Arabidopsis thaliana: one gene and its partners. The protein of the gene in region 4 interacts with the protein of the main gene of each other region in a biochemical or structural test. Each region holds a gene or a part of one and is shown on either strand. Other genes may lie near its edges.

Evidence for each region.
Region 1: of the proteins of MPK10 (region 4) and LBD18, one has a biochemical effect on the other in vitro, tested with the Arabidopsis thaliana proteins (one large-scale study listed by BioGRID).
Region 2: of the proteins of MPK10 (region 4) and WRKY22, one has a biochemical effect on the other in vitro, tested with the Arabidopsis thaliana proteins (one large-scale study listed by BioGRID).
Region 3: of the proteins of MPK10 (region 4) and MYB98, one has a biochemical effect on the other in vitro, tested with the Arabidopsis thaliana proteins (one large-scale study listed by BioGRID).

The regions. Positions count from the first base shown.
Region 1 is NC_003071.7:18,715,246-18,723,232, reverse strand, and holds LBD18 (LOB domain-containing protein 18), read right to left. Parts: upstream 4,886-7,987; 5' UTR 4,633-4,885; coding exon 4,264-4,632; intron 3,208-4,263; coding exon 2,788-3,207; 3' UTR 2,504-2,787; downstream 1-2,503. UniProt on the Arabidopsis thaliana protein: Involved in the positive regulation of tracheary element (TE) differentiation. Involved in a positive feedback loop that maintains or promotes NAC030/VND7 expression that regulates TE differentiation-related genes.
Region 2 is NC_003075.7:520,206-527,800, reverse strand, and holds WRKY22 (WRKY family transcription factor), read left to right. Parts: upstream 1-3,551; 5' UTR 3,552-3,671; coding exon 3,672-4,003; intron 4,004-4,213; coding exon 4,214-4,324; intron 4,325-4,508; coding exon 4,509-4,962; 3' UTR 4,963-5,271; downstream 5,272-7,595. Other genes in the region: AT4G01245 (uncharacterized protein), read right to left, coding at 113-210; AT4G01240 (S-adenosyl-L-methionine-dependent methyltransferases superfamily protein), read left to right, coding at 5,829-5,877, 7,081-7,406, 7,467-7,595. UniProt on the Arabidopsis thaliana protein: Transcription factor involved in the expression of defense genes in innate immune response of plants. Interacts specifically with the W box (5'-(T)TGAC[CT]-3'), a frequently occurring elicitor-responsive cis-acting element.
Region 3 is NC_003075.7:10,307,535-10,315,278, forward strand, and holds MYB98 (myb domain protein 98), read left to right. Parts: upstream 1-3,495; 5' UTR 3,496-3,533; coding exon 3,534-4,210; intron 4,211-4,347; coding exon 4,348-4,474; intron 4,475-4,543; coding exon 4,544-5,023; 3' UTR 5,024-5,311; downstream 5,312-7,744. Other genes in the region: RLP51 (receptor like protein 51), read right to left, coding at 629-1,924; IRX1 (cellulose synthase family protein), read right to left, coding at 5,312-5,899, 5,983-6,336, 6,410-6,853, 6,936-7,148, 7,216-7,341, 7,414-7,551, 7,648-7,744. UniProt on the Arabidopsis thaliana protein: Transcription factor that binds to the motif 5'-GTAACNT-3' in the promoter of target genes (e.g. DD11 and DD18) and promotes their expression within synergid cells (e.g. in the filiform apparatus) in ovules.
Region 4 is NC_003074.8:22,086,949-22,094,903, reverse strand, and holds MPK10 (MAP kinase 10), read right to left. Parts: upstream 2,505-7,955; 5' UTR 2,457-2,504; coding exon 2,233-2,456; intron 1,961-2,232; coding exon 1,831-1,960; intron 1,741-1,830; coding exon 1,603-1,740; intron 1,520-1,602; coding exon 1,187-1,519; intron 1,095-1,186; coding exon 914-1,094; intron 840-913; coding exon 664-839; 3' UTR 501-663; downstream 1-500. Other genes in the region: AT3G59800 (stress response protein), read left to right, coding at 1-25, 119-307; AT3G59780 (Rhodanese/Cell cycle control phosphatase superfamily protein), read right to left, coding at 4,580-4,817, 4,915-4,973, 5,057-5,103, 5,214-5,244, 5,321-5,383, 5,496-5,594, 5,688-5,771, 5,883-5,975 and 5 more.

The DNA of each region.
Region 1 (7,987 bases), on a different chromosome or scaffold from region 4:
ATAATTCGTATGAAAAGGCACTCTAGCGTAAGGACATATGTATAACTATCGAATTATTTGAATATTAAAGTCGCAATAGACAATTTCTTTATCGCTAAAACAAAGACAAAATATAGTCATCTATTGAATTATTTATAACAAGATATTACTAAATGTCATTTTCTAACCTAATCAATCAAGTTGGTGTTTACCATTCATCACCTTCACATCGTCCGTTTAAATCTTGCATACATTTCCATATTCTCTCCGCAGACTGAACTCTATTAGAAAGTTCCTTTTTATTTCTATCTACGAAACAATTTAACCACTGTAATCAAGATAATTGATCCACTATCTCTGTAATTATGCGGACCATCCCGATTATTTTTATGTATTGAAAACAGAGAAAATTGAAAAGAAAAAAAAAAGGGTTAAAAGAATGGACCACGTACAGCCGAGGTTGTCATGTGATGGACAGCGATTAACTTAGAAATTAGAATTATTAAATATCTTTGATCATCTTTTGAAACGAACAAATGCCTCGAGAACTCGGTGCCAAAATGTCAACGATTCTCTTAACATCAACTTAAGCATCAAAGCACAACGCATTTGGACTATTTAATTAAATGTAAATTACAATCATAATCTTCTTCTTAATTACTTACTTACTTTAATGATTAATTACTAGCAGAAACAATACTCTGTTCTCCTACAACATTTTCTATTTTTTAATATAAGAAAACTAATTTTCAACTATAAAATAGATACTATAAAAACGGATGAACGAAAATGAAAATGTATCTATTATATATGTAGTTAGATTTATCCTACCAAAAAAAAATGTAGTTAGATTTGTTGAAATTTTGTTTGATAAGTCATTTAAAAAAAAAAAGTAATTATCACGATAGTCTTTTCCTAAATGCAACCGTTTACAATTATCGATTCTGAAATTTACATAATGACAAAATTGAATACAGACATGAGAGTATTAGGATTACAACTATAACTGTAAGTTTCGTCGTTGACCAAAAACTAAAACTGTAAGTTTCGAAAGAAAACAAATTATTTTGGTTAAATGATTAATAGGGCGAATACTACTCCACTAGTACAAATAAATTATTTTATTGGCTTACAAAAACTGATGATTCTTTTATTCAGAAAAGAAATAGAGAATGTAAATCAAATAGTTGTAATATTTTGTAAACTTTTATTGCAGTGGCTAAAGTATTAAAGTCTTAAAAAAAAAAACTTAAGTTTGTCATAGTTTTGTAGAGATTATGAAAAAGAAATTTGTAATAAACATCGAAAGTTCAAAATATTGTTATCAAGTAAACTATCACAATAACAAACAGAGATACAGTCTTACAGAGTGTCAACACCCAAAATTAGAAAAAAATATTCAAAAAAATCAATCTATATATGTAAATATGGAGATAAAAGTACATTTTATATTCTGTCCCGATTTATAGATGCAAATATTTTACAGGAGGGAGCTCCGACATGTAAGGAAGTGCAAGCTTTGTTATTCTAATCTGTAAGAATTTTTGATAGTATGCAACAAAATGATTGCGTTTGATATCGCTTAATATTAAATATCGTGCATGAGAAGAAATAAGAAAATAAAAAGGGAGTTCGATAACGAAATTAACAATAATATGTATATATAGACGAAGTTAACTAATAACTAGCTTTCTTTATAACTATATTTATATGAATAAATAAAAAACACTTCGCCTTTTCTTCGGCTTATTCATATAAATTTATTAACGAATCTCACGTACACGAGCTCCTTTATATTAATTATGTACTAAACATTGATTTTAAGCACTAAAATACCATTGATCTGTTAATTTAAGTTGAAATTTTAACTTATATATATTTACCAAATGACATTCCATTCCCAAAGCAAATGCAATCTATTCGACGATTTTTTTTCGTTTCTTAGTTTCGTTTATGTTTTATTTTAGGGTGTTGGGCTTCAAAAACAATTTACATATGTCTCTTTAGTAAAACTTAATTTTGATCGATTACACTAAAATCGTCAAGACCAATTTTTCTTTCAAACACTTATACAAGTAAAAACATCCTCACCAAGGAATTTAGAACTTGAAAAATATCCACTACCAAATTGTTTTAGATAACATCAGGCCCGTAAAGATCATCATGCGATACAATCTTATATATATTACCAATTACCAAATGACAATTTCGTAGGAAATATCTTAAGAAACTACACAACTCCAATTGATATTGTAAATCCAGTCCCGTGGAAATATCTTCTATAAAGAAAGAATACAAGAGAAACCCAACTCTATTAGTGAGTAAGGATATTTCTCGAGAAGCATAGTGTAAATTCACTTCGTGCTCTTTGCAGATGTTGATGTCTGTTTAATTCAGCCATAAGACCATAACTCTGTAATTTACTTCCTCTTTTATTCTTTTTTGTTGAAATGTAAGGGATTAAAAAAGGCTTGACAAAAGTAAAAAAGTTGAAGGTCAAAGCCCACAATATGAATGGGCCTTGCGAGAAAATGCCCGAGGCAGAAATAAGAAGATGGAGTATATACAACTGATTAGGAAACGTATGTATGACTCGGGATATATTCAAAAACTTACGTAATAGGAGAAAAAAAGTAAAGGCAAAGAAGAAAGAAAATACTCGTCAGTCAAAAGAAGTGAAAATACAGTAGTAATACAATATAAATGTTAGAAAATTTATAATCAGTACTTTCAAAGAAAATTAAATCTTATTGAGTTGTAATTTAATTTTCCTAATAACAATGCGGAGATGTATCGATCAAAACCAACTCATCTAGACATAGTTCGAGACGGCGAGTGGTCGGTAGCTGCCGGGGGAGGAGATCCTTGTCTATGGAGGAGTTCATGTGCTAATGCTTGGAGGTCATGACTGTTTTCACCACCGAGCCCCACGGCGACAGAAGAGGAAGACGATGATACACCGTATTGGTGACGTGGATCAATGAATCTTCGTTGTTGCGTGGCCCATGCCGAAGAAGACGTCGTTTGATCGAAGATGGATGCTAGGTCATAGGTTGAGGGCAAGGGTGAGACTGATGCAGGTAAATCGGTTATGGCAAGAGGGGGAGGAGGAGTGAAAAAGAGCGGTTGCGGTTGCGGCATAGGCTGTGGCCGCGTTTGCGGTTGAGGTAGCTCTAGTGATGCCAAATGGGCTTGTAAGTAAGAAACTTCTGCCTGTAGATTCACCACCTATGTATACACTTTACGAGTTAGAATTTGTTTTGCATGATATGTAAACATATAGGTTTAAGGCTAAACCTGTACTTTTCTGGAATTTACGTAAGAATGCGATTAATGGCTTACAATTTATTGCAAATATTATGCACTTAGTTTGATCAGTGAAATCTCTATCTCTTACAGTAGTTTTTTATACGCTTAACGTGATAGCTTAATTATCCTAAAATAGTTTTTTTTGTTTTTTGTTTTTTTAAGAAGATATCCTATAAATAGCTAGTTAGTACGTGTTATTTTAAAATTTATGATTTCATGTAATTATCACATTTCTAACAGTTTAAGCAATTACCTGTTATTCACCTTTAACTATAGCATTCAGGAATGGAATTAATGCATGTTCGATTTGCTAAGGTTGTTAGGCCACAAATTATGTAAACTATTAACATAAATAGTAAAAAAATAAAATGACACGCATCATATAAGATCATCCCCTTATTACACGGTTAACAAAAATTGCGAAGAAACAAAATGATTTATCTTCAGTTTTCACAAGAAAGAAAACGGTTTTTAGTGGAAAAAATATAATGGTGTATATACGTATCAACACAGAAAATTGTACCCGACCAATTCCCGAAAACCAGCAAAACAAAACTTCGTAACTTTGCAATGGGACTTGTCACGACCGTATCATTTTTATATAATTGCATAATAGATTATATTAAAAGATTTCATAAGTAATTAAACAGACAACCATGCTTTTTTTTTCCTTTATACTCAAAGTAGAAGATTGCAAAACCAAGAAAACTCAAGAAAGTGCAAACTCTCGAAAAACTCGACGATTTCATTTCATGCACACCAAAAAATTGTTCATACTAAAACGAATTTGCATGAGTTTAAAATTATAGATTATTCCCAAACGAAACCGAAGTTTGCTACTTTGGAAAAGAAAAAGAAAATTGTAACTGTCACCAAAATAAATTGTGGTTAGTTTAAGTCAATTAGTATGTTTCACATATATTGATTTCCAACGCATTTTACTATTGAGAAAAAGTTTAATAAATTATTAATTACCTGTTGCTGAAGAGCAAAGATGTGAGCGACGCAACCGTAGATAGGATCCCTTATCCTAGCCTGAGCTTCATAGCAAATTGTTACGACAGCATCGGACCTTCGATGAACCGGTATGTGTAATAGAAGCTTCGAGACGTTACTGGCTCCGAACACTTTATGCACCGCCGCAAAATAAGCCGATCCTTGCTCGGAGTCAAAGTACGGTGCAAATATACATCCCGGCACACACTTCCTCCTTAGAAACTTACAAGCACCACATGGCCCACCACCACCACCGCCACTACTTCCTCCTCCCCCACTGCTGCCTCCTCCACCACAACCACCACCTCCGCCTCCCACGGCAGTGATTGTGTTCCCACCACCGCTCATGACCGGCCACCCCCCAATTAACGAGTTGTTACTCTATCTCCCCACTCTTGCGTTAGGGTTTTAAACTTGTTGAGTAAAAATATGGAGATTATGTTTGGTATTGTTTGAAGATGAGAGGAAGATTTGAGAAACGGGAATCAAGAGAGGAGAATTAGGGTTTGGTAAGAGGAGAGTATAGAGAAGAAAGTCTTTAAAGCCAAGCGACGACAAAGCTAACAAAAAAAAAACGATCTCTCTCTATTTTCTCTTTTTCTCTCACATTTAGTTGTTTGCGTGAAGCAAACATGCGATAAGCCTCTTCTATTATTCTTTTTCACAATCTTTAACTACATAATTATATTATTTATGAATCAAAAGAGGAAAAAAGGGGGAAAATCGTTTGATTACCTAATATCCCTTGGAACATCTCGTGATAAAAAAAACTATTTTCCAAGAAAAATAAACTTCTTGCTTTCTCTTTATTTACTGTGAATATACATGTGAACTGTAATTGTTGGAGATATCTCATGAATTTAATTACGAACAAGATGGATAAATGAAATAAAATATTATACCCTTAATTAAGTTTTTTTTTGGCATAGTTTTTAAACTATTGACTTGAGGTCCAACTTAAATTAGCCATCAAACACTAAAATTTTACAATTTGTAACTATTGATAAAATAGTTATATATATATATATACATGGCGTGTATACAAAATGCCAGTTCTTAGTTATTTTCTTTAATGATTCGATTTTTCAAAATTTTATATTATCGGAATAAAAACGCAAAAGCTTATGTAATTGAAGAAAGACCTTTTTGATAAGAAGAAGAAAATTCATAATTAATTGATGAAATAGTTAGTTACGCTTACTAGAAAATGACTCGTTCGCCAACTTATCTTTCCAAATTTATAAAAAGAGCATTAACTATGTTAAATCATTCATTCTAAGTTAAAATGAGCATTCACGTTTTCCAAAATCAAGTGTAATGGATTCGATTCCGGTTTAGAAACGAGATCAGAGTGAACCGGGAGTCAAAATGTCTAAATTTCTCGGTTTGAAATGGAAATAAAACGTAGTTACGTGTACCAACAACAAAAGTACACATGTCAATAATGATTGTAACTGCCTAGCGAGTGAAAGATCGAAGAAACGAATGACGTCATTTTTCACGTGGGTCCCACGCGCCGTTCCCTTAGAAAGTTAGTAACGCCTCTGTGCTTCCTCAATGTCTCCTCCACGCGTATGTTTTTCTTAAATGTGTAATAATCCTTCATTTTATTAGTAAAAAAAATTGAAGTTTGTTGTAATTTTTTTTATAAAATAAATACTGTTAAATAAATGAATGAAAAAAAAAATGTTAAGCTCTTGAACTTGAGTTTCGTATTCGAGTTTTAGATTTAGGTAAAAATATGGTTGACCAAAAAAATTGTGTTGGGCATGAATGCATAACAGCATGAGTCAAAAGACAATTCTTGCTATCATATTTATTTTTATTTTTTTAGTTTATTGATTAGTCATAAACATCGTCGAATTATATAATAGCGTAATAAATTAGAGATGAGATAGTGTAGGAGGTGGAAGTGACATGGTACCTCAAATCTTGGGGATATATGTACAGAAAGGGTCGACCATTTTCGATCAAACATAAACTATTTTAGTTCACTATATTTTCTCTTAGATTGTTTCTTGATATATATGATATATAGCTCATTATATAGTTAATTAAAAAAATAAAATATAATTAATCACTTCGCTTTTGTTGATGAAACTTTTTATTCCACTCGTGCAGTCAAACCCTAAATCTAACATTCTCGTCGAATTTGGTAAGGAATATATATAAGGATTGTATAAATTGATCTGTCTTACAAATTAATAGACGTAATTTAAAAATTATATATACACACATGCGTTGTTTAACCATATATTCAAATTGGGGGTTGATCCTATCATCCTACGACCCTATTATTCCTTTGAACTCTAAAATCCACTGGTCAATATCTACTAAAAAATATTATTAGAAAATTATACGGTGTCGCCTAAAAACAAGGCACAGCGATTGATTTAAGAGTTCAAGTGGAAGCTGATGATACAACTATACTACTAATCTTTTATTAAATATGCTTAATGTTTTCACAAATGTACGTAGCAATACAATCTAGTTAGGGTAACTTCACCTGGTTGGTCATTTATTCATAGCAACTACAACCTGTTTTTTCTTTTTCTTGGTAATATATCATCTGTAGGATTTATCGAAAAAAATCATATGTATCGGACAATATGGGTTACAATGAAACTTTTGATCAAAACATGTAGCGTTTTAGAATAAGTCATCAGGAACTGAAAACCTATAGCTAAGTTGAATATCTATTCGGAATAAATTGTTAAAGTTTCCATGGTTACACGTTAAGTAATTAAGGCCCAACGACTTAATCGATAAGTGGTTTGTCTCCCTATTGCATAAACTGACAAATGATTCCTTAAAAGTAGAAATGTTGCCTTGAATTAAATAGCTATTTGAAATTTTGTAAGTATATGTTTAACTAAACTATAAATTATATAAACACAATCCCAAAATTCTTGTAGCTTGTTTATGTAACCACAAACACAAAAACACACGCACACGCACACATATGAGTTCATTTTAAGTCCAATTGATGGAAAATGGCTAACTGGCAAGAAATCTTTTTTTTTCAATTTTTTTTGTCAAACACTAGCAAGAAATCAAGCATATGGAATTCATTACTTATTTTCTTAAAATTATAAAAGAAAACTTATGTTGTTTGATATAATAATTGGCCCCTTGTCGGATAATTTTCAGACAGTGGTTGCATTTCAGGCGTAAGGCAGTTTCGATCTATAGTTCTGGTCGCAAGTTCAAATTCGACAATATTTTGGTCAAATCACAAAATTCCTCATTATTTATTTCGACGTACATCATCAGAATGTATGGGCCTTTATAATGATAATGTAGAAAAATAGAAGTATGACGATGTACAACAGAAAGATTTGAAGAGATCATTTAAGTAAATTGTACTAATGATCAATATAAAATGTATATAGTGTGTAATATAATTGTTTTAAGAAAGAAGGAAATTTCTGCAAGTTCAAAATAAGAAACTTTGGGGCGTTAAACTAAAACATTTGAGAGTTAAGGGGCTTAAGGCTAATAGAGTAAGGGGAGATTCACGGATTAGTAGACAAGGAACCGAACGGCGCGATTCTCTTCTCCAACGCTCTCATTTCCTACTTACTCTCAATTAAGTTTATGAATATATTATGGATGCTGAATATTTTAAAAATATTTTTTACATTGAATTTAATATCTGAGAATCCTCAAACCTAATTAGATAAAAACAATGTCTTAAATCCAA
Region 2 (7,595 bases), on a different chromosome or scaffold from region 4:
GTAAGAAAGATTGTTTTGTATTAGAGACTTCATAAAAGAAAATTCAAAGACCTAAAAGAAAAGAAACGCAATGTTCAATCCTCTCTTCCTCAACTTCTTCACCATTGCTTACGAAATTGCGTAGTTTAACAAGTTGTTGTAAGAGACTAGAAACCGAACAAAGTACTCTACTCTGCAGGAATAACAAGATGAACTAAGGTGAATCACCATCTTCATAGGTCACTTGAAGGTCAAATTAATTTTGTTTAATCGGATTACATTGCTTCAGACATGACAAATGTGAAATAATGAACCAAGTTCACAAGTCAATGACCAAAATGGGACCAGGGAAGCAGTGACAACTAGTTGCTATGTACCTACATATTCTAGATAACCAAAACTATGTGAAGCTATGTGAACTGAGTGGAACTAAGCTGTGTGGCAAGCCTATTCGGGATAACCAAAAATGAGATCAGGGAAGCAGTGGCGAACCTATTTCAGATAACCAGGACTTGACCAGTGTGTCTATTGTATCTTTCGTCTTAGCGTTATTCCCCAACAAGGGGAGAAAAGTTGAAATTTCAATGGTAAGCGCGAAAATTTGGGGAAGGAAAGCACGTGTAAGTCACGTGAGATAAAAACATATACAACCTTAGTGGCTTGTATTAGGCCCAACGTTTTTACCTAACGGCCCATTAAAGCCCAATCCAGATATAAAGGAAAGCACTTGTAAAAAGTCACGTGAGAATAACATTTTCAACCACAGTGGCTTGTATTGGCCCAACGTTTTTTTCACTAACGGCCCAAAAAGCCCAAATCAGCTATTGATTAGTGGAGGAGTACTCATTTATTAATTCCTCCTACTAATTGGGGTTTACCAACTTAACAGAAAAAATGCATCAGTTGTGTGAGTTGTCGAACAATCAAAGTGATTTACCAACAAAATATAAATAAAAGTAATCATTAACTTGATTAGATATAAAATTAAAAAAAAATCGGTTAGTCAAACACAATGTTTAAATTAATGTTGACTTAACTCGTTTTTAGTAATATTGTATGTATCTTTATAATAATAAAAGAATGCTTGGGTTTGGGTCCACGCGTTTTTGTGATACAATGCCTCGTGCAGGCCACTTGGAGCTAAATATTTTTTTTGCTAAAAAAACTCGTCCTCGAAGGTTTCACGTGGCTCATGCACCCCTGACTGGGTCAGGAGAATCTTGACCGTTGGATCAAAGTTGAAGCATTTATAATAGCTTTGACCGTCCGATGAATGACTACAAAGATTGTGATTCGTTATAAGCCGTACGATTGACTAACACAAAGAGGAATCAACATCACGAGGCGAGAGATAATGGTAACAACGGCATAAAAGCATTTTTCTCGACAGCTGTAGCAAACTCCACGTCATCTTATCTTACTCGCCGTGTGAACCGTTGATTTTATGAAAATTTGTCAACCTTTTTTACTCGCGGAGATCACGCGCTCCCCTCGTTTGGCACGTGTGTCACACTCTGCTTCACTCGTAAAATTCTTTTTCCTTTTCTTCTTTCTTATTGTTCACCATATAAATTATTTTGAACCAATTTTTTTTTTACAATACAAATTGTTTTTAAATTTCTATACAAATTATATATTATTTTTATATTTATGATTATTACATAATAATTAGTTAAATTTTTTCAAAATAAATATTCTTAAATCTGCGTGTTTTTAGTTAAAATAATTTATATTGTGAAACGGAAAGAATAATATTTTTTCCGAAAATAAAATGTTTAGTAAATTTGTGTGTTTATTTCAAAAATTATGTTATTGTTTTTCTTTTTTTTAAATGAGTTGTAGAATGGGAAGAACTAAATAAACACACTACTCATATTATTATTTTTTATAACATTACCTACATGTGCTTTGCTGTTGCTATTCTCAAAAGGTAATGAATGGTACAATAGTATCCCATGTTTAGAGTATGTGGCAGAGTGATCAACACTATGGTGCTAAGTGACAATCACTATCTTTCTATCTACATACTTTTTATATTGCATTTAAGCACATTTTTTGGAAAAATATAAAATGGAATACATATGTGTTATCCATGAATGGTTCTTTTTTTATAAACATCAGTTGTTAGATTGACTATTTTGTAATGTCGAAAGCTCACAACAAATTAAACTTTTATTCTTATCCCTTAACATTATAATTTTTTTTGTCTAAATTAATCTTGACAACTTCCAATTCCATAATCGTTGGTGTAAAAAGATTTAAGAATTGTTTACTTCATCTTGTGCGCATCGATAAAAAGTGGGCACTAGTACGAAAGTATGGTTTCCCACTATTTAAAATCAAATCAAAGGATCCCTAAAAGCGCGTGTGAGAGACGCGTGGAAATGTCCAAAGGAGTGTGAGGTTGACAAAAGATGAATTAAGAGATTATTCAAAGCCTTTGACATTTTATCAAAGTCAACCAAATACAAGAAACCGGAAACCATAAGTGGTTTTAGTCACTAGGCGACAAAGACAGGATAAGCATCGAGATACCTTCTTCAAGCACATACTTTTCTCTCTTTCTAGAATTGCCCAAAAAAGCCAAAGAGACTATTCCTCTCTCTATATATATATAGAATATAAAATATTCTAATATACGTATTATATAATCGGCATATACACGTATTGTGATTCCGACAGTGCTCATCTTTTTCCAAGTGTGTTCATACTTATTTGCTTTTAAAACAAGATACAGAGATATGTTTAATTTAGTAATGTCTAAACAATTGCTATCACTAAAAGGAAAATATGTCAAATAAACACTAACATTTAGTAAAATTGTAACGATAGGTTGGCACAATAATGGCATCGGTTTATAGAGGACGATTCCTATTAGTTTGCTAATTACAACATCTAGTATTAGTTTTGTGCAATCGTCACATGTCCTTCTTCATTTCCTGTTTTATATACAAAAATTATTCAGTATGTTTACACCATCCGTACACAAATTTTATTTTTAGTTAAATATATTTTATAGTCACAAGTTGTGTGACTCAACAAAATATTTTCAGGTCTTTTTTTGTAATTCATAAATTCATGTCTATTAATATTTTCAACTAATAAACTAATTTTTGCGAGATAAACTTTGAATGGTTACAGCGATCCAAGCGGACAAACCATCTACAAACCGAACCGCTTTTTATTTATCATTCACAATCTATAGTTCGTAATGAAGCAGAACCAAAAAAACAAATAAATTTGATGCGGATTGACTTTAAACTAAGTTTGCAGCGGTTTGTTCTCTGTCCTAAAAAATAGTATAGATTGGACCGTTGACGGATTAGTTCGCACTAACCACAACATATCCGTCTCAAAAAATAGTATAGACTGTACTGCTGACGGATTATTCCGGATTAACCACAATATCCATTCAAAACAATAAGTTGATATGTGGAATAATTACAATGTAACAAAAAGAGAGAAGAAAACAAAATTGTATATTATACTGTATTTGAATCATAAATAATAATTTAATAAAATCTTTCCTCCATTTTTTTCAACCCTTTTTTTATTTTCGTCCATCTTCAGTCTCTTTATAAACATATCTCTCTACCCTTCAAAAGTCAGCGCTCTCTTTTGTCTCCTCTGCTTTTTTCTCTTCTCTCCTCAGAGATTCGAAGCTTTTTGTCTCCCCTGAGTAACCAAATTCAATGGCCGACGATTGGGATCTCCACGCCGTAGTCAGAGGCTGCTCAGCCGTAAGCTCATCAGCTACTACCACCGTATATTCCCCCGGCGTTTCATCTCACACAAACCCTATATTCACCGTCGGACGACAAAGTAATGCCGTCTCCTTCGGAGAGATTCGAGATCTCTACACACCGTTCACACAAGAATCTGTCGTCTCTTCGTTTTCTTGTATAAACTACCCAGAAGAACCTAGAAAGCCACAGAACCAGAAACGTCCTCTTTCTCTCTCTGCTTCTTCCGGTAGCGTCACTAGCAAACCCAGTGGCTCCAATACCTCTAGATCTAAAAGAAGGTTCGTTTCTTCACCCAATTTTCGATAAAGTTTAAACCTTTTGTCAAACCCATCAACAAGTTTACGAAATTCTGTTGAATTAATCAAAATTCCGAATTTTGCTGTATAGAAATGGTTAAAAGTCTCAATTTTTGTCGAACCCATCAAATTTGATTGAATCAAGAAGGCTAAAATAAAAAGTCTCTGTTTTTATTTGGTTGCTTGTTACAGAAAGATACAGCATAAGAAAGTGTGCCATGTAGCAGCAGAAGCTTTAAACTCCGATGTCTGGGCATGGCGAAAGTACGGACAGAAACCCATCAAAGGTTCACCATATCCAAGGTAAAACCAAAAAAATTACCAGAAAAAAAAAAGTCATTTATTGAGTTATAAATGTGTGTATTCTTTCAAGACAAAAGAAACTTGTCTGTTTTTGTGATTCTGTCTGATTTTGGTTTGTTAAATTATTATCTGCGTTACATTTTTGGTAAAGGATTCTAATTAATTCTCATTTTCATGAAAACAGAGGATACTACAGATGTAGTACATCAAAAGGTTGTTTAGCCCGTAAACAAGTGGAGCGAAATAGATCCGACCCGAAGATGTTTATCGTCACTTACACGGCGGAGCATAATCATCCAGCTCCGACACACCGTAATTCTCTCGCCGGAAGCACACGTCAGAAACCATCCGATCAACAGACGAGTAAATCTCCGACGACCACTATTGCTACTTATTCATCGTCTCCGGTGACTTCAGCCGACGAATTTGTTTTGCCTGTTGAGGATCATCTAGCGGTGGGAGATCTTGACGGAGAAGAAGATCTGTTATCTTTGTCGGATACGGTGGTTAGCGATGATTTCTTCGATGGGTTAGAGGAATTCGCAGCCGGAGATAGCTTTTCCGGGAACTCGGCTCCGGCGAGTTTTGATCTCTCTTGGGTTGTGAACAGTGCCGCCACTACCACCGGAGGAATATGATTAGATTACGACGGCTTAGAATACTCTTATTAGGACAGATTTATAGGATTAAGGAATTATTCTCGGAGCATATGTAAAAATAGGATAAAAGAAAATGTTCTTTGTTACTTTTTTTCGGGTTTTCTTCCTATTGTTTCTAAACATCTTAGAAAAAATTTAATTGTATATTCCTTAAGCTCGATACATCTTGTTTAACTCGAGTACGATTTACTTATGGAGTTATGGTCTTTGTCTCATCATTGCATAGAACTTGTTTCATCCTTGCTCGAGTACTCACTGATTTACTTGTGGTATTTATCTCATTGCGTTAAACTTGTTTCATAACTTTAAACACAATAGTCTGACGCGACTAGGCAAGTGCACGTCTCAAGTGGGATCTAAGAGATTTCTAGGTAACCACCATAGCATATATACATAAGATAATATTAGAAACTAATTATAGAATTAAAAAAAAAAAAAACTAACCATTATCAGTTTTTATGTGAATAAATAATCATATGACTATATAAAAAATACAAAAATGTCTTTACAACTTAAATCGAAAGCAAGTTTATGAGAATAACAAGATATTTATCAAAAAATGATATTTTTCTAATATGTTATGATAATAAATGATCTGTTATATGAAAAAGTAGTATGTTGACAGAAAGAGATTTTCAGTTATCACGTGTAATTTAAAAAAATAACGTGGTTAAAAAAAATAACATACAATTTAAAAAGAAAACATAACGACGGAGATTCCAAAAAAAATCAAAATCGAACAAAATAAAATGAGAAATCTTCTACAAATTAAGGGAGAAATAATCTATCAATATAAATAACGTTTGGCAGCCTACATTTATCGAAAAAGAGATCTGGTGGTTGTGATGGTGGAAGATGTGGTGGTTGTGGTGGTGGAAGAAAGAGAGATGAGTGGTAGTTTGTTTCGGATTCGTCGGAAGTTTTTCGCCATAGAATCATCTAAGTGTTTTGTGTAATTTTGGAAAATAACGTGTAATATATATAAAGTTCGAAATGGGTATAAAAGTAATTGCAAGTGAAGAAATAGAGTGTACTGTAACAGCATGGCTAGTTTGTTAATTCTTTTACAATCTATGGTTATTTTGTGCATATTCTTATAAAAATACTAGGAAATGTCTCACGCGTTGCGTGGGTTTGTAAATAATTTAATAATATATAAAAATATTTTATGACTAAATAAACATTAATGGAATAATATAAAATACACTAACGGTAAGAAAAAGCAATACCCAATTTTAATTAAAGAGTAAGTCTTTTTATTAGATTAAAATGACACTATAAAATAAGCTGTATTTGTTTCTTTTGTATCCACTATTAGAATCTTTTGTATTTAAGTATAAATTTTAGATATTTAATTTTTATTTTAAATGATCACAAAAGTTTGTAGGAAAAATTTCTTTTAAAGAAATATTTGGGAAAAATAATGATATATAATTAAAACTATTGAAAATAAATAATAGTGTATTTAAGTTGAGAGAGGACACATGTCACAAGGAGAGATGTCACGTGTCAGCTTCTCGTAGCTCTTGAATAGGAGAAACCTTTATTTATTATATAAGATGTATATAAAATTGATTGTGTAAGATTTTTTTTTTCTTTTCTAAATATTAAATTAAATATAAAAATGTGTGTGAGTTAATATTTAGAATTTAAATAGTATCAATAATATTAAGTGTGTAGAATCAAAATAAAATAATAAAATAGATTGCAAAAGACTAGAGTTTTGTTTAAATAAAAAATTATTAAATTAAATATCAAGAAAAATGTTTGAATTACTGTACTGTCGAGAAAAGATAATAATAATATATATATCTTACATTGTATATTTAGGCGGTACTTATCTAGTATACATATTATAGATTTTATTATTAATTCATTTTTTGTTGGAATTTTATTTTACCATATTTTGTGGGTTTTCAGCTTTTAATTTAATAAAATTATATTCACTAAAAAAATACGTTTGTACAAAATTGTCACTGAGACTATGATTTGGGGTGAAAAGCTGTAGAGTTGGAGGGTGAGGCCACTCAAGATGTGAAGGGTGCAGAGGCTGATTTCCAGAGAGCACTGCAGTCTTCCCTTTTTGATTCTCATCAGAAACTAATTTGGAGGAACTCTGGGATCAACTTCATTATGCGATAAGAGCATTGAAAGCTTTAAGATTCGATAATACCATGCGACAGAAAGCCATAGATAAATTGATAGCCTTACAGGAGAAAGAATCCATTGCGTCCAATGAAGAATGCATAGCTAGAGAAGTTGTTCAAGAGGCTACTTTGGAATTATCTTTGGGTGAAGCGAGGTTGCAGCAGGTTCTAGTGGAGTCAGCGGGTCACAATGCTTCTGAGGTTGAGGATAAAGTCTGGGAGACTATGATTTTGGGTGAAAAAGCTGTAGAATTAGAGCGTGATACCACTCAAGACGTGTAAGATGCAAAAACTTCTTTTCAGATTGCACTGCAGTCTACTCTTTTTTATTCTCAGGCCCAAGGACAGGTTTTGGTTGGGAAAAGTACAGTTGTTGACGAGGATGCAATATCGAGTGGCGTGGCTGAAAATGAGTTAGCAGTAGATGAAATCTACACTTGTGAGGCAAGCTTTTCTATGAAAAAG
Region 3 (7,744 bases), on a different chromosome or scaffold from region 4:
TGTAATCATTGAAAATTGAAGCAATTAGAACATATACTAAAGGAAAACATAACCACCATTTTATGACCAGGCTGGATCTTTGATGGAGCTATATATCTTCATGATAGTATCATTGCTTCAAAGGAAAACATAACCACCATTTTTCATTAACTCGATTACTTTATACATTCAAGTGTTTGTTACAACTTTTCAATCATTAATAATTTGGTCAAGGTACTAAGACCTAACCAATGACACGTTTTCTATTTTTGGACCAATTGAACCATGTTCGAACGCATGTGCAGTATTACATAAACACAACTCATGAAGGAACAATGTTTGTTGAAGAAAATAATTGATAAGAATAATTCAATAATTATTACAAAATAATCCTTAACCACTTACACTTAAAAAAAAAAATAGAACAATATCTGAAAATAAACTACTAAATTAACGTATTAAACCCACTCAAATGTAAAATCAAAGTAAAATAGAAAAAAAAAAAACTTAAACCGGGATTTGTGTGGAGAACCGGTTCGGTTATTCTCCAAAAAAATTCACTATCCTCTTCTTCATCTCACAAGAACCCTAATCTCACTCTCAAAGATTAGGTCTTTCTTTGCTTATACTGTACTCCAATTTCATGGAATCAACCACACCATTTGGCGAGAAGGATCATGAAGATGATTAAGAACACAAGTGAAGAAAGTCCAATAGCAACACCAAGCACAACTTTATTAGGACCATGATGCTCTTCTTTCTTCTTCTCACTAGTATCATCTTCATTTCCGTAATCATAATCTGAATTCGAATCTTCTTTCTGCGGCGGTGGAGACAAAGGCAAACCATGTTTATCACACTGAGCAATACCCAATTTCATCTTCGATGACAATACACTATGGTTGTAACAAAGATCACTGTTTCCACCGATTTTGAACACTTCGAGATTCTTGATAAAGCTCGCATTGAATGGTAGAACTCCATGGAAGGCATTGTTAGCTAGATTCAAGTGTGTGAGATACTTCATTTTGGAGATGAATCTTGGAATGGTGCCGTTTAGTTGGTTCCCACTCAGATCTAAGTGTGTAAGCTCTGGAATGGATGAGATTGAATCTGGGATTGGTCCTGATAGCTTGTTTGAGGATAAAGATAGGTTTTTTAAGGAGATTAGGTCACCGATTGAGTCGGGTATGTCTCCGGAGATGGTGTTTTTGGATAAATTTAGAGACTTTAGGTTTGAGAGCAGAGTAATGGAAGTGGGTATTGAGCCTTTGAGTAGATTGTCTGATAAGTCAATGAATGTGAGATTTGAGTGGAATGATTTAGGGATGTTTCCGGAGAGATTTGCGTGTGAGATTGTCAAAGAGACGATCTCGTGCATATTTCCTAGGATAACGAAGAGACCAGAGGTTGAGACTGGAACAGAAGAGACTGTGAGGTCAGTGAGGTTAACGAGACGAGCTAAGAAGACTCCGGAGAGGCCATTACGGCGGCGGAGGAAGGAGGAGACGGCGGTGAAGGAGTGGAGTGAGTCAGGGAGACGTGGAGGAGGGGAGAGTGAAGGACAGTTGAGGAAAGAGAGAGAGGTTAGAGATGGTGAGAGAGCTCTGAGAGCTGTTGTGGAGATGGAGAGATCGGTGGAGCAATTTGTGAAGGAGATGGAAGTGACGAGGCGAAATGGGGAGCTGGTGTCGCAGGTTACGACGGAGGAGGAGGTGGATTTGGTGGTGGGACGGTGGTTGCAAGGATCTTTGACGGTGGGGATGTTGAGAGATTCAAGGGCTTTGAGTTGTTTTGGGTCTAATGGGGAAGAGGATGAGGAAGGTTTGTGAGGTGGAATGGGAGAGGTGGTTGGAGATGGAGTTGGAGAGAGGGAAGGAGCGGCGGAGATAGTGGCTGAGAGGTGGAGGAGGAGGAGGAGTAACGGTAACGACGGAGGTTTCATGGTGAAGAGAGAGAGAGAGAGATTGAGAAAGAGAAGGATAGTGTCAGAGAAAGTAAAAGAGAGAAAGAGAAGAAGAAGGAAGAGAAAGATTGGATTTTTCAAAGATGGGTCATGTGACAGTTGGGTTTTGTATACTTTTAGCCTTCTGTTTTTGGTTTAATTACGATTTTGACCTTATTCTAATCTTCTTCTTTTCTTCTATATGAACTCTTATTTTGTTGCATTTAGTATTTAACTATGTTTTTGGCTTTTTAGTTCAACTTTGGTTGTTATGGATAGAGATTCTTTTGTTGTTTTTTTGCTATGTGTTAGAAACTTTGACAAATGTAAACAACCTTTTAAAACTCATTATTCGACATGTACCAACCATAATCAATTTATTTGCTTTACATTTTCTCTATGTCATTGTAACCATTCAAAACTCTATAAAGAAGTGTATAAATAAGGTATATTACCAAATGTTATTTCACCAGGATGATTTTATGCTCTGCCCTGGATTTGATCGTGTAATCTAAGACTCCATTGATTTTGCTTTTGTAAATAGTTCATCGATATTAGCATTAGTCCAGTCCTTATGCATTGAGGTGGGGACAAGAAGAATATCATAGGAATCATATTTTTTTGTAACCCCCATACATGAATTAATAAGGGAGGTCTTTTAAAAAGTTTTCGGACAGAACTCAGATTTAGGCAGAAAAAAGAAATACATGCATGAACTAAAGAACTAAGAAGTTGTACACTGCAAGAAACACCATTAGAGTCACACTGTTAACACTTTGTTATAAACGATGCGGTTTTTGAGTTTTTTTTTTGTTTCACTTTGGTCAGAGACTTTTTGTGAGGGTTTACTTCTAGAAGACGGAGTGAACAAAATGAAAATTAGACCTTAGAGCTAATATGGTCAATACACTCATTGTCCTTCGGCATTTAAAATGGTAATTACATTTTTGTTGACTAAATTAATACTACACTTTATGATAAATTAACTAAAGACAACTAAATATACAATAAATGAGTCATTTACACATTAAAAACTAGATTTAATTCATACTAGCGTTTTCACAAACATTCAACTATGTTTACCCCAAATTCAACAACACCTAATGTGTAACGTCAACAAAGATTATTATCTCACATTTTCTAACTTGATTTTCAATCTAATTATATTTCTATCAAAATATGTTAAAAGAAATAATTAATTTGAACTATTTTTAGTAATACCTCTAAAAATCTAACTAGGATAAAAAAAAAAAAAAATCTCATTGTAAACTAACTTCGAAATTAATTTTCTTAATTTTACCTCACTTTCATGTTGAGATATGATTTAAGAAAAACACAAAAATGGCTAAGCATTTAAGAAATAATTTAAAAAAATAATTAATTAATTTAATATATACAAAATCACACTAATGCTACCAACAAACTACAAACGTTAGATTTCAATCCATAACAAATTTATGGGTATAGTAAAAACACACATTAAATGTCTTTTCTTTCTTCTCCTACCTTACAAATACGAGAAAGAACAAAGCTAACACAAAATCGGAAAAAGACTTCACTTTTTTTTTTTTACTAATTAATTAGTTTTTTTTTTCTCCTTTCCAAAACAATGGAGAATTTCGTCGACGAGAATGGTTTTGCTTCTCTAAACCAAAACATCTTCACACGTGATCAAGAACACATGAAAGAAGAAGATTTTCCATTCGAAGTCGTCGACCAATCAAAACCTACAAGCTTTCTTCAAGATTTTCACCATCTTGATCATGATCATCAGTTTGATCATCATCATCATCATGGCTCCTCATCTTCACATCCTTTGCTCAGCGTCCAAACTACGTCTTCTTGTATCAATAATGCTCCTTTCGAGCATTGCTCTTACCAAGAAAACATGGTCGATTTCTATGAAACTAAACCAAATTTGATGAATCATCATCATTTCCAAGCAGTGGAAAACTCATACTTCACTCGTAATCATCATCATCATCAAGAGATCAATTTGGTCGATGAACATGATGATCCTATGGACTTGGAGCAAAACAACATGATGATGATGAGGATGATCCCTTTTGATTACCCTCCTACAGAGACTTTCAAACCTATGAACTTCGTAATGCCAGATGAAATTTCATGTGTTTCTGCAGATAATGATTGTTATAGAGCAACAAGTTTCAACAAGACCAAACCATTTCTTACACGAAAGTTGTCTTCTTCTTCTTCATCATCATCATGGAAAGAAACCAAAAAGTCAACCTTAGTCAAAGGACAATGGACTGCTGAAGAAGACAGGTTCGTTATTAACACAAGAAACCTCAAGAATCAATTAACATAATCAAGACTTTTGATGATTACACTATTCTAGAGGTTTTTACTATAGTCACCCGTTTTTGCTTGTAAATGAAGTTTTCTTGTTTTGGATAATATAGGGTACTGATTCAACTCGTGGAGAAGTATGGATTGCGTAAATGGTCGCATATCGCTCAAGTGTTACCGGGAAGAATCGGGAAACAATGTAGAGAGAGGTGGCATAACCATTTGAGACCTGACATTAAGGTATTTTACTAGTAGCTATAAGATCATGTATTGATGATTATGGAACCTAAAAGATAAAGATTGTTGCAGAAAGAAACATGGAGTGAAGAAGAGGACAGAGTGTTGATAGAATTTCACAAAGAGATTGGAAACAAATGGGCAGAGATTGCGAAAAGACTCCCGGGAAGAACAGAGAACTCGATCAAGAACCATTGGAACGCAACAAAAAGAAGACAATTCTCTAAAAGAAAATGTAGATCTAAGTATCCAAGACCTTCTCTGTTGCAGGATTACATCAAGAGCTTGAATATGGGAGCTTTGATGGCTTCTTCTGTTCCTGCAAGAGGTAGACGCAGAGAGAGTAATAACAAGAAGAAGGATGTTGTTGTTGCGGTTGAGGAGAAGAAGAAGGAAGAGGAGGTGTATGGACAAGACAGGATTGTGCCTGAATGTGTGTTTACTGATGATTTTGGATTCAATGAGAAGCTGCTTGAGGAAGGATGTAGCATTGACTCTTTGCTTGATGACATTCCTCAGCCTGACATTGATGCTTTTGTTCATGGACTCTGATTTGTATTTTTTATTCTGCTTGTTTCAGTTTTGTTGTTTTTTGTTTGTCTTTTTATACGAGACAGATTCCACCAAACTTCAATAATTTGAAAAGATATAAAATATTTTGCTTTTTAAAAACATGTTGATGTTGAAACAATAGAAACCTAACTTGCGGAACCCGCCAAGACTTGTTGCTAAAATAAGAACATTACTTAACTTGTGGCTCAAGCAACCATATGAAAATTTATAAAACAACCAAAACACATATGATCAATCTTTCAAAATACAAACATAACGTATCTTCTCTTAGCAATCGATCAAAAGACAGTTCAGAGAAAGGGAAGTCGTATCGGTTTTGGAGACGAAAGGATTGATACGAACCCAAACAAGTGAAAACACAGAAGCAAGCAAGATAGACCAGAGAATAACAATAGTAGGTGTTCTGTTTTGTCTTCCCATAAGACCTTTGAGGAATGGATAAAGATGAAGAATCACCCAAAAGGCGAAAAATACCTTCCCAAACAAAGGTCCCCAAGCTTCATAACCTTTGTTAAGAGCGTCAGAGAATCCAGCAACAACTCCGACCAAGTTGATTATAAGAAGTGACGTCGGAGGGATCAAGAGAGTTGTCCATTTGACAATGTAAAGCTCACCGAATTCTAAATCATCTGCGGTTTTCGATGTGACTGTGAAATTTGTGTCGAGACCAGCGAGCATTTTGAGGAATCCTTGGAAAACGGCAAAGAGATGAGCTGAGACACCTCCAATAACCCAAAACTGTTCGTTTCTCCATAAGTCTTCGATACTGACTCCGCTCCATCGAAGCTCGAGGACACTCGTTAAGATGATTGATATAAAGAGACCTAGAAACAGCATGCTTGCTAGGTTTGATAGCTGCAATAAAGAACAGAAACAAAGATCAAATTCTCAATCTTGCTGTAACCTAACCAAAGTAATTAGTAGTATGAAAAAGTTACCGTTGGGATGATAAATTTGCCGGTAAGAAGGCAAATAGCTGGAAGAGTACAGTAAGCAACAAGAGGCAAAGAAGTGAATGGGTAGACAATAGTGTTTATATAAGCTAATCTCTGGAGCAACTTGAGGCGGCCTCCGCTGCAACCGTACCACAAAGGACAATGTCGGCTAAGGAAGATCTCAACCGAGCCAAGAGCCCAACGTAGAACCTGGTGAAGCCTATCTGATAGATTGATTGGAGCAGATCCTTTAAATGCTGGTCTTAATGGCATACAGTAAATCGACCTCCATCCACGACAATGCATCTTGAAACCCGTCAAAATGTCTTCGGTGATCGACCCGTAAATCCATCCTATCTGCGAAAACAGAACGAAAGGTTATAAAATGTACTCACAAGAGAACTTTGATATGAAGAAACAAGGCACTTACTTCTTTTCCCCATTCAGTTTTCTCTTCGTATCCACAGCTAATGACATGAATAGCTTCTTTGATGAGCGTTGACGGGTTTACAGAGTCGGGAACACCGCCATTCTCCATAAGAGTAGACTCGATGAAAACCGTAGAGAGACCAAACGTTTTCTCAAAGCTTGTTTGTGAAATCAGCATCGATCTGTCGTACTCATCGTAGTTGTCTAGGTCCCCAAGATTAAAGATTGCAGCATCAAGTTCTTCTCGCTTTGCATCTTTGTAAATCTCGGAAGGATCTTGAGGTTGTTTCTTCTTGGTTAGACAGCAACACGACGATGATGAAGATTGCGGTAAAATCCTCGGTTTTGAAGGTGGACTGTATCCGTAAAGTGCTTGTCTTCTAAAGACAGTACCTGTACCAACATAAACTGGACCTTGAATCCCATCAAGCCCTCTCATATTAACCTGAAAACATCATATCAAAACCACAAAATATCATAAGAAATCTCAAAACTTTGCTTGAAGTTATGAGTATGAGATAACTTACATCGAAGAAAACAATGTTGCGGTTAGCATATCGATCACTCTTGTCGATTCCATCAAATCTCTGTGGGAACTGAACAAAGCAAACGTCTTGACCAACAACAGGATCCATTAAAAAGCACATTGCTTCACGCACGGCTTTGCTATTGTTGACGTAGTGATCACAATCAAGGTTAAGAATGAATGGAGCATTCGTTAAAACCGCAGACACCCTCACCTACAAAGAACAAAATCATTAGGATTGTGCTAAATTGAACGATAAAAGAAAAAGTTTTGAAGTTTACCAATGCGTTCTCTGCCCCGGCCTTTTTGTGATGCTGATAACCAGGTCTCTTCTCTCTAGAGACGTAAACTAATCTTGGAAGTTCATTTCCTTCAATGTCGCGAGCACCGCTATATCCAAGAAAAACCTGCAAGAAAGAAATTACGTGACTAACAAGAAAAGACAGAGCATTTCAGGTCAAATGTTTTAGCTAGCAAACCTGAATCATCCCGGGATGGTCACGAGTGTTGTTCCCGGGCCAAGATGTTCCATCTTGCATTGTCCATCCTTCTTCTGGTGTCTTTTGAGCCTTGGCGACTAAAGCATTCATTCTTATTTTAAACTCTTCATAATCTCTCTACAAGAAGAGAAATTAGACATTAAGTTTTCGATTCAATCATCGGTTAACGCTATATGAGATTAATTTAAGGTTTTAAAGCCCTTGCTTACTTACTTTCATGGCTCTACGTTCTTTCACAAAAGAAGGTTGAACTTTATCCCTCAAGTAATCGATTTTAAGCGAGAAGTAAAACTCGGGAGCTCGTGGCTCG
Region 4 (7,955 bases):
GAAGAAGAAAAGCAAAAAGAGAAAGGTGCCTTCTAAAAGTTTAGCTTATATCAGATAGTGTGAGGTTTTCTAGCTTATGCTAACATGAACCATGATCGGTTGTGTTATGAATTTGCAGCATTATTCGTCCTCAGAGTCGTCATCTAGCAGTGATGAAGATGAATCTAGAAGATCAAGATCAAGTTCGAAAAGATCAAAGAAGGAGAAGAAGCACAAGTCCAGCAGAGACAAACACTCTAGCAAAAGTAAACACGAAACCGATGGCCCTGTACCACTCTCTAGATTCTTTGGCAATTTGAAGAATTGACAAAAGCAAAACTGCAAATGAACTATTACAAAGAGTAAGATTGTCTTCAATCAAAATACTCAAAGTAGGATATGATTGCTTTCTTCCTTGTTGCAATGTTATATTTTTGACAATAGCTCATGTATTAATATTTGTTGGATTGAAAGTCGCAATGATGCCCACAGAATCATGGTTTTTCAGTTTATTTGCTTAAAAATGAAATTTGACAACATCAAAAGGGAATCTAGCAGAAAATCTTAGCACAACAAAATTTCTGAGAGATGAAAAAATTAAAGGAAATGAAAAGGGAAATTATTCAAAGAAAAGCAGAGAAGGAAAAGAAAAAAACAGAACAAGGATCAAAGATATGGTCCTTTTCAATCATTGCTGGTTTCAGGGTTGAAAGCTAGGGCTTCACAGTAGATTAACTCTCTAAACTGCTCCTCAGAGAATGGATGTTCATCTAAATCGAAATTGAAGGGCTCTGAGCACTCTGGTTCATCGGTAATGTCGTGAAACGAGCTAAGGTATGGATGAGCAAGTGCTTCTTTAACTGCAAAGTGGCAAAACTGATGATAAGAATCCAAATAAAACTGCAGAAGAGGCTATATGGAGACAGAAACTGACCTGAGATTCTCTGTTTAGGATCAAATGTTAGCATCTTCTCCACCAAGTCTATTGCTAAGGGAGGCACGTTCGGGAATTTCTCAGTGAAAGATTGGCGAGGAAGCGTAGGAAGCTGCCTTATGTATCGCTTAGCGTATTCACTCAACGATCCAAGCTCTTCTTCAGATGGAGTGCCAATGAGCTGCAAAACAATGTCCCAAGACTTTTTAAGCTAATCATGAATCACAAAAAACGAATATGATCTTGGCACAACAAAGGGTTTTACTTTACTACCTCCAGAAGCAAACGAAGCTGATTAACTTGATCTTTCCCCGGGAAGAGCGGTTCACGGTTCATTATTTCCATGAAAATACAGCCAACAGACCAAACATCTATTGCTGCGGTATAGTCAGAAGAGCCCAACAGAAGCTCAGGTGCACGGTACCATCTTGTGACAACATACTCAGTCATTAAATTACTCTCAGGAGTTGCACGAGCGAGCCCGAAATCACAAATCTTTAAGTCACATTGTGTACTCAAGAGGAGATTGCTTGGTTTTAGATCTCTGTGTAGCACATTGGCTGAATGAATGTACTTTAATCCGCGCAGGATTTGGTACATGAAATACTGCCAAAAATTTGAAGATTGTGTCAAGCTCACTAATCAAAATGATTTTTAAGTTTCAAGAAACAATAACTCTAAACACACACCATGCCATGATCTTTGGTTAGTTCTTGATCTGATTTTAAGGTTCGATAAAGGTCAAACTCCATCAATTCATTCACAATGTAAACATCTTCGAATGAATCTCTCTGAGGAGGCAAGATTACGTCTCTGATTGCAACAATCTATAGAAAAATGATATTACATAGTTAGCTTTTAATGAATAACAAAATAAAAGAAAAAAGGTGAGACAATAGTTATAAAATCAAACGAACATTCTCATGATCGAAGTGACGAAGAAGCTTGATTTCACGAAGAGTTCTCTTTGCTTCGATAGTGTTATCAAATACTTGCGTTATTTTCTTTATTGCTACCTTCTCATTGGTCTCGGAGTCCACAGCCGAACTGTAAAAAAAGTTAAAAAGAAAAGTAAAAACTAATGTGTCAAGTGAGGAAATTTTAAAAGTAACAAGAATAACATAAAAGTCATGAATGGTATAATAACTGTTTAGAGATCTCTATGATAGAAACGATTTGAACTTTTCTCATAAAAAGATGAAACTTATCAACCCAAACCATAAATTACACACAAAAATGGTCATGGCATCTACATTCTAAAGTGCTCAAAATGATTAGGAAAAGAAATGAAACTATTAATTCTGTTAAAAGGATATTACCAAACGATGCCACAAGCACCTCTGCCAATAGGCCTAATCGGTGGCTTATACTTTGCGGGGAGTTCAAAGATATGCCCAAATAGATTGTACTGGATGTATCTGCCGTCATGGCTGAGAGTCCCCGGAATATCGATAGTCGTCTTGAGGATTTGAGATGACGGCCAAATAGCGGTTGTAACCTCTCCTTGAGTTTCCAATGTCTCAGCATCGTTAGTTGGCTCCATGGTTTTCTTTTTGTCTCACACAACCTCAAACTATTCTGTTGAGAGAAGTGATGTTTTTGCTTTGGTTGGGTTTAGTGGTAGTGAACTAAACTTATATAGAGTGGATATGTGTAAGTATGGATGTTTAAGTCCAGGTCCAGGAGGACCCAGGAGATATGAGTTTTGATATATTTTGATAGTTTTAAGGTAAGTTTTTTTAACTTATAGGAATTCTGCTGTGAATTTCCTTTTCCATATGGAAAAAAAAAAACTAAATAATCTTAATATATTTCCAGCTAATGAATACAAAAAAACTAATTAATTTATGGAAGTGTATAAGTGAGATGATTTTAGGTAAGTTGTTAGAAGAAGATTTTTTGCTTTTCATACACCCTCTTAAATTAAATGCAAACATGGCAATACAATTTGGATACATACTCTTCATATTCATTTCCTAATTTGTGTTCATTTTTGTAAACAATTTTCTGTATTTTCATATACTTTAAATTTAGTATAGAATAATATTTTTTGAAAAATCAATTTACTTGAAATTTTAAAATATATAGATATTTGATATGAAGTTTCTATGTAATCACCATCACTTACAAAGAAACCTCAAAAATATTATTAATAAACATAATTCAAAATAAGTCTTACCATTTATTATTATTATTATTTTGTTATTATAATTTTTTTTAAAAAAAATAATACTATACTAAGTTTGGTAGTTTTTAAATATGTGTATAATTGGTTTTCATTTTTTATTTACAGGTTAATAAAATATTTGTTTCCTTACCTACAAAATATTATCCCTTCTGCTACACTTAGCATGTTTGGGTGATGATGGGATTCGTTTTTAAGTAGATTGCTGGGAATAGCAAAAAAAAAAAAAAAATCTACAACAAATTTATGAGATCTAATTTAGTTAAATGTGTTATATATAATATATTTATAAGAAAAAAATAAAGTTCATAAGATTTAATAACAAAAATGACAGTCCAGCAATCAAATGATAAATCCACTGCATCACCACTTCTGTATTTTATCATTGTTTTCTATTTGTGCTGATAAATAGAAACACCACACACTTCTGCTAATGTCGTTCGTTGATTTATCATTGTCCATTCTGTTTTTCATTTTAAATGATAAAAAATATGCTTACACATTGAAATAATGTAGTAGTGGTCGATAGACATATACAATGTTTAGTTAATCTTGTCAAATTTTCTAAGTTTCTGATTAGTATTCTTTCGTTTAGAAATTAAAACGCTTGCAAATTCACAACTTGCATAAAATTAGTAACTTGCACATACGTCGACGGGAAAATTCACAAGTACAGTAGGGAAATTAGGTAAAGAGTAATATAACGATGCTATATGAAAAGTAAAAATTCAAAGCCACGAAAGTAAGATCAAAACTAGATGGAAATACAGTTTTTTAAAGAGAAGAAACGTTTTCACTCGTCGTCAACTTCATTGATATGGCTTCAGCAGCTGAGTGAAGTGTACGAATACGGTCAATCAAGTTAGCTTTCCTCACATTCAAGGCCAAACAAAACTCGATAGGAAGAATGTAAACAGACACCACTAACAACTGGGAATGTGATGAACTAATTAAAAGGATACAAATCTAACAACAAACCGATACTTTGGAGTGTTGTATTTGTTCTTGTCTTGATTAATAAGACGGATTCTGGCACGATTATCAGTCTTGCCATCTATATTAAGAAAACACGAGAACTGTCACAACAAAATGTTAGCTTTTGATTAAACAAAAAATAAATGTTTCTATCTGTGTAGAATGATTACCTCTTCTTCTCCTGGATTTGACCTGACCCCTGAGTCAAGGATGACGATTGCTTTTTCACTAAACCCTAAGTATGCCACTTTAAGGCCTTCTGTTATTGGGCCTAAAGCCCAAAGTTATTAGGGGAGAAATTGCTGTAATAATTTTACGTGTAACCTATAACTTTTGACCCAATTTAGCTAGTTCTAAATTTGCAAAACAAATCTCAGCATCCGAACGAAAAGAAAACAGTTTTTTTTTATTACACTTTTTCTGTTGCCGATGTTAACGGTTCCAAGAGACGAACAAAAGTAATTCTTGGCAATTATAAGAAAAATAGAAAACAATTTTCAGAGTCTTTACGCTTCGGAGACATCAACGTTGTTCAAAGCTTCTTCTGGTGACGATGATGCATCTTGGAGACTTTCAGAAGTTTCATCAGAGGGTTTCGATTCATGCTTAGCAGCAGCTTGCAAAACCCGGCTTCGAACATCTGAAGAAGAAGGCGAAGTTGGGAGGCCAACACCATTTGTTTCTAGTTTTCCTGCAGCCCACGAGAAAGCCTGAGCTCCGAGTTTCACAGGTGCAAGCAACAGCCTTGAAGAAGAAGATGAAACAATCTTTGTTAAGACAGAACAGAGGTTTCGCTGAGTTTTTGCTATGGAAAAAGGGTCTAATGATGGCGCTTTTATACCTGACGTCTTGTTTGAAGTCTTCGGAGTCATCATATGAAGAAAGTCGTAGGTATATAGTCTGCATAATGTTTGAAACTTGAAAAACAAAACAAAGCAACTATAATTTGACAAAACTTAGAAACTGGAAAGGCTAGTATATACCAGACTAAGGCCGATGACAGCTATGAGTTGCAGTGTTTTCTCCCACTCTGCGAGAGATAGAGCAATCATGTTAGTGCAAAACGTGGATGTGAGGAGCTTGTGTGTTGTGGAGAATATGAGATATTCTAAAGGGGAAATGAGAAAGAATTAAACGCACCAGACAAAGCATACAATGCTGCGAAAAAACCCTGCATATATCTTCTTATATTAGTCAGGATGGGATTATTATTAAACGGAAATAGAAAAATAGAACTAGAAGCATACCACACCAACTCCAAATAGTTGCAATGGAGAGGGATTTATGTCCTCAAAAATCGCCTCAGCTTCCTGAAAAGCATTTAAGATATGTTTAACTTACTGATGAAAAGATTTGAGAGCAGTTTCAATTTCATCTAGCTGAAGAAACAGTCCAAACATATTTGTATTCATATGGTATTACCTCGTTGAGGATGGTAAGTGTTGTCTCAGGTTTTGGCTCTTTCACACGAAGACCTTCCTGTACCCATGATCTATACCCACCTTGCATCAAGTATGGCCTCTGTCACATCATAGGCAACCAAAGAAGAGCTTATTCGAAAATGTTTAAAGGTAACTTATTGTGTTCAAAGTGAATTATGCCTGAATGACTTGCCTTAATCCCAACTTTTCTCAGGGCTCTTGCAATACCCTTTGAACGAGTTCCATCAGCATCCATAACAACAACCTTGGACCTGTCCTATTAGTGGGAGAGTAAGCAAAATTATGAGATGTCAGCATACTTAGAAACTGAAACAGCTCGAGCCACAAAACCATAGTAAGTTACAAAAGAAGCATGAAGGTAGCACACCTGAACTATTTTCAAGTTCTTGATGATTACTGCTGTCAAGATATCATCTACTTCACTTCCACCTTTCAGTAGCCGTTTGACATCACCGTCAACCTTAAACATGAATCAAGAACAAGAACCCATAAAAAATGTGAATAAAGAAAAGTCTGATATCCTACTTCTGTTGCACTGATTGCTGAAACCTCGTTGTGTTCATAGATTACATGTGTAGAGTTTCTATATTCGCTGTGGTCAACAACAATGAGGATGCTAAAACCAACCTCAGGCAGTGTCACGCTAGAATATCGAAATCGAGCTGATCTCCGCAGATCAGGTATTCCATCTTTCTCTCTCAAGGCCTTCAAAAAGACAGTAGCCAAAATGAGCATTTTTATTTCAACCCAAACTCCTTGATGAACATTATGTGAAAGAAATAATCAAATTGTGGTGGGTTTTGAAAAGTTATATATCATGAAATGGGAACTTGTTAGAAACTTAAGAGCGTCTTACTTCAGGCCTGACATCTATGAGCACTGACTTGTCTCTTGATTTTAAAAGGTCCAGAGTTGACTTGGGAGACAAATCTCCAGCATATCCACCATATGTCCAAACCCGATATAGAACCCTGCAAATATCTGGTGGAAAATATAAATTCTTCTATACTACATTGTCCTCTCAAGAAAAGCAAGTTTAATATCCTTCTAGGGTAAGAAAAGCCGTGTACCAAAAGGTTCCTGTGGTGCCTACGAAGAGAAAAAGGTGAAGGATTGGGTCATCTGGATCCAAACCGATATTTCTCTCCAAACCTCCAATGGCAACAGATACCTGTTCATCATGATACTGTTAGCAACTGTAGTCCATAAAGAATTAATTTTCTTCTACGAAAATATGAATGAACCTTCAGTATATAAGACAAAGCACCTGCTGCAATACAGCTCCCACGGGACTCAATACTTTTAGAGCAACATCTTCTGACGAGTTAAGGGCACTCTTTACATCTGGAGGAAGTAATTCTTTTGCTGATCCATAAGAGTACACAACAAAAGAAACTCCATTTGTTACAGATCTCTCTCCAAGACTAACTGATTGCCTCAGCAGATCAATGGCAATAACAGCTGCTCTGTTTGAAGCTTCCTTCAAGCCAGTAGAAAAACTCGAAAACTTGTCTCCAGCTACATCTCCCGTTTGGTCTAGCGTAGAAAACGCTCTGTTAACTGCACTATCTACAACTTCAGAAGCATTCTTTGTAATGGATGTCACAGACGAGGAGAAGGACTCCAAAGTGTTCTTTACAGCATTTTCTCCTTGGTTAAGTGAAGAGCTGAAGGACTCCTTGACCCCAGAAGAAAAGTCATCAACGCTAGCTTTCGCATCAGGAAGTGAAGAGCTGAAGGACTGCTTGAGCCCAGAAGAAAAGTCATCAAAGCTAGCTTTCGCATCAGGAAGTGAGACTGAACTATCCGGAGATATTTTAACAGTCGCATTGGTTCCCGATTCAACAGAGTCTATAAGGCTACTGGTCTTATCGGTTAAAGTCTCAGCAGAAAGGCATTCAATGGGGGAAACATCTGGTACAACAGCTTCAACAGGAGAAACATCTGCTGCAACAGCTTCAACAGGGAACACATCTTCTCCATTTTCTACATATGTCAGTCCCTCATCACTCGCTACAAAAGCTTCACTCATGTTATAAACCATGTAGTTTATTCTGTCCAACTCATTCTGGCACAAACTTCCGAATGTTGATACTGGTTGTTCTGTTTTTTCGATAGTACCGGTCAAGAAACTCCCAGTGGCTTGAGGTACGAAACTCTTCTGCAGGCGTGTTCCATTAGAGATACCAAAGAAGGCATTGTCACCTGAACTGTATCTGTGAATCAACTCTCTCCTGAAGGAAGAACAGCCTCGCCAATTGCCAGGAAATAAAATCTGCAGAAACAAACCCGTTATGAGGTACTTACTTATCTATGAAAATGAATCCAAAAACCCAAAGCACTAACAAAGCGTAACACCCATAGCTCAAATTGGATGACTTCAATAAATTTGCTACCAGTTAGCTTATTTACTTTCACTTCTATAAAGAAAATCTAACCT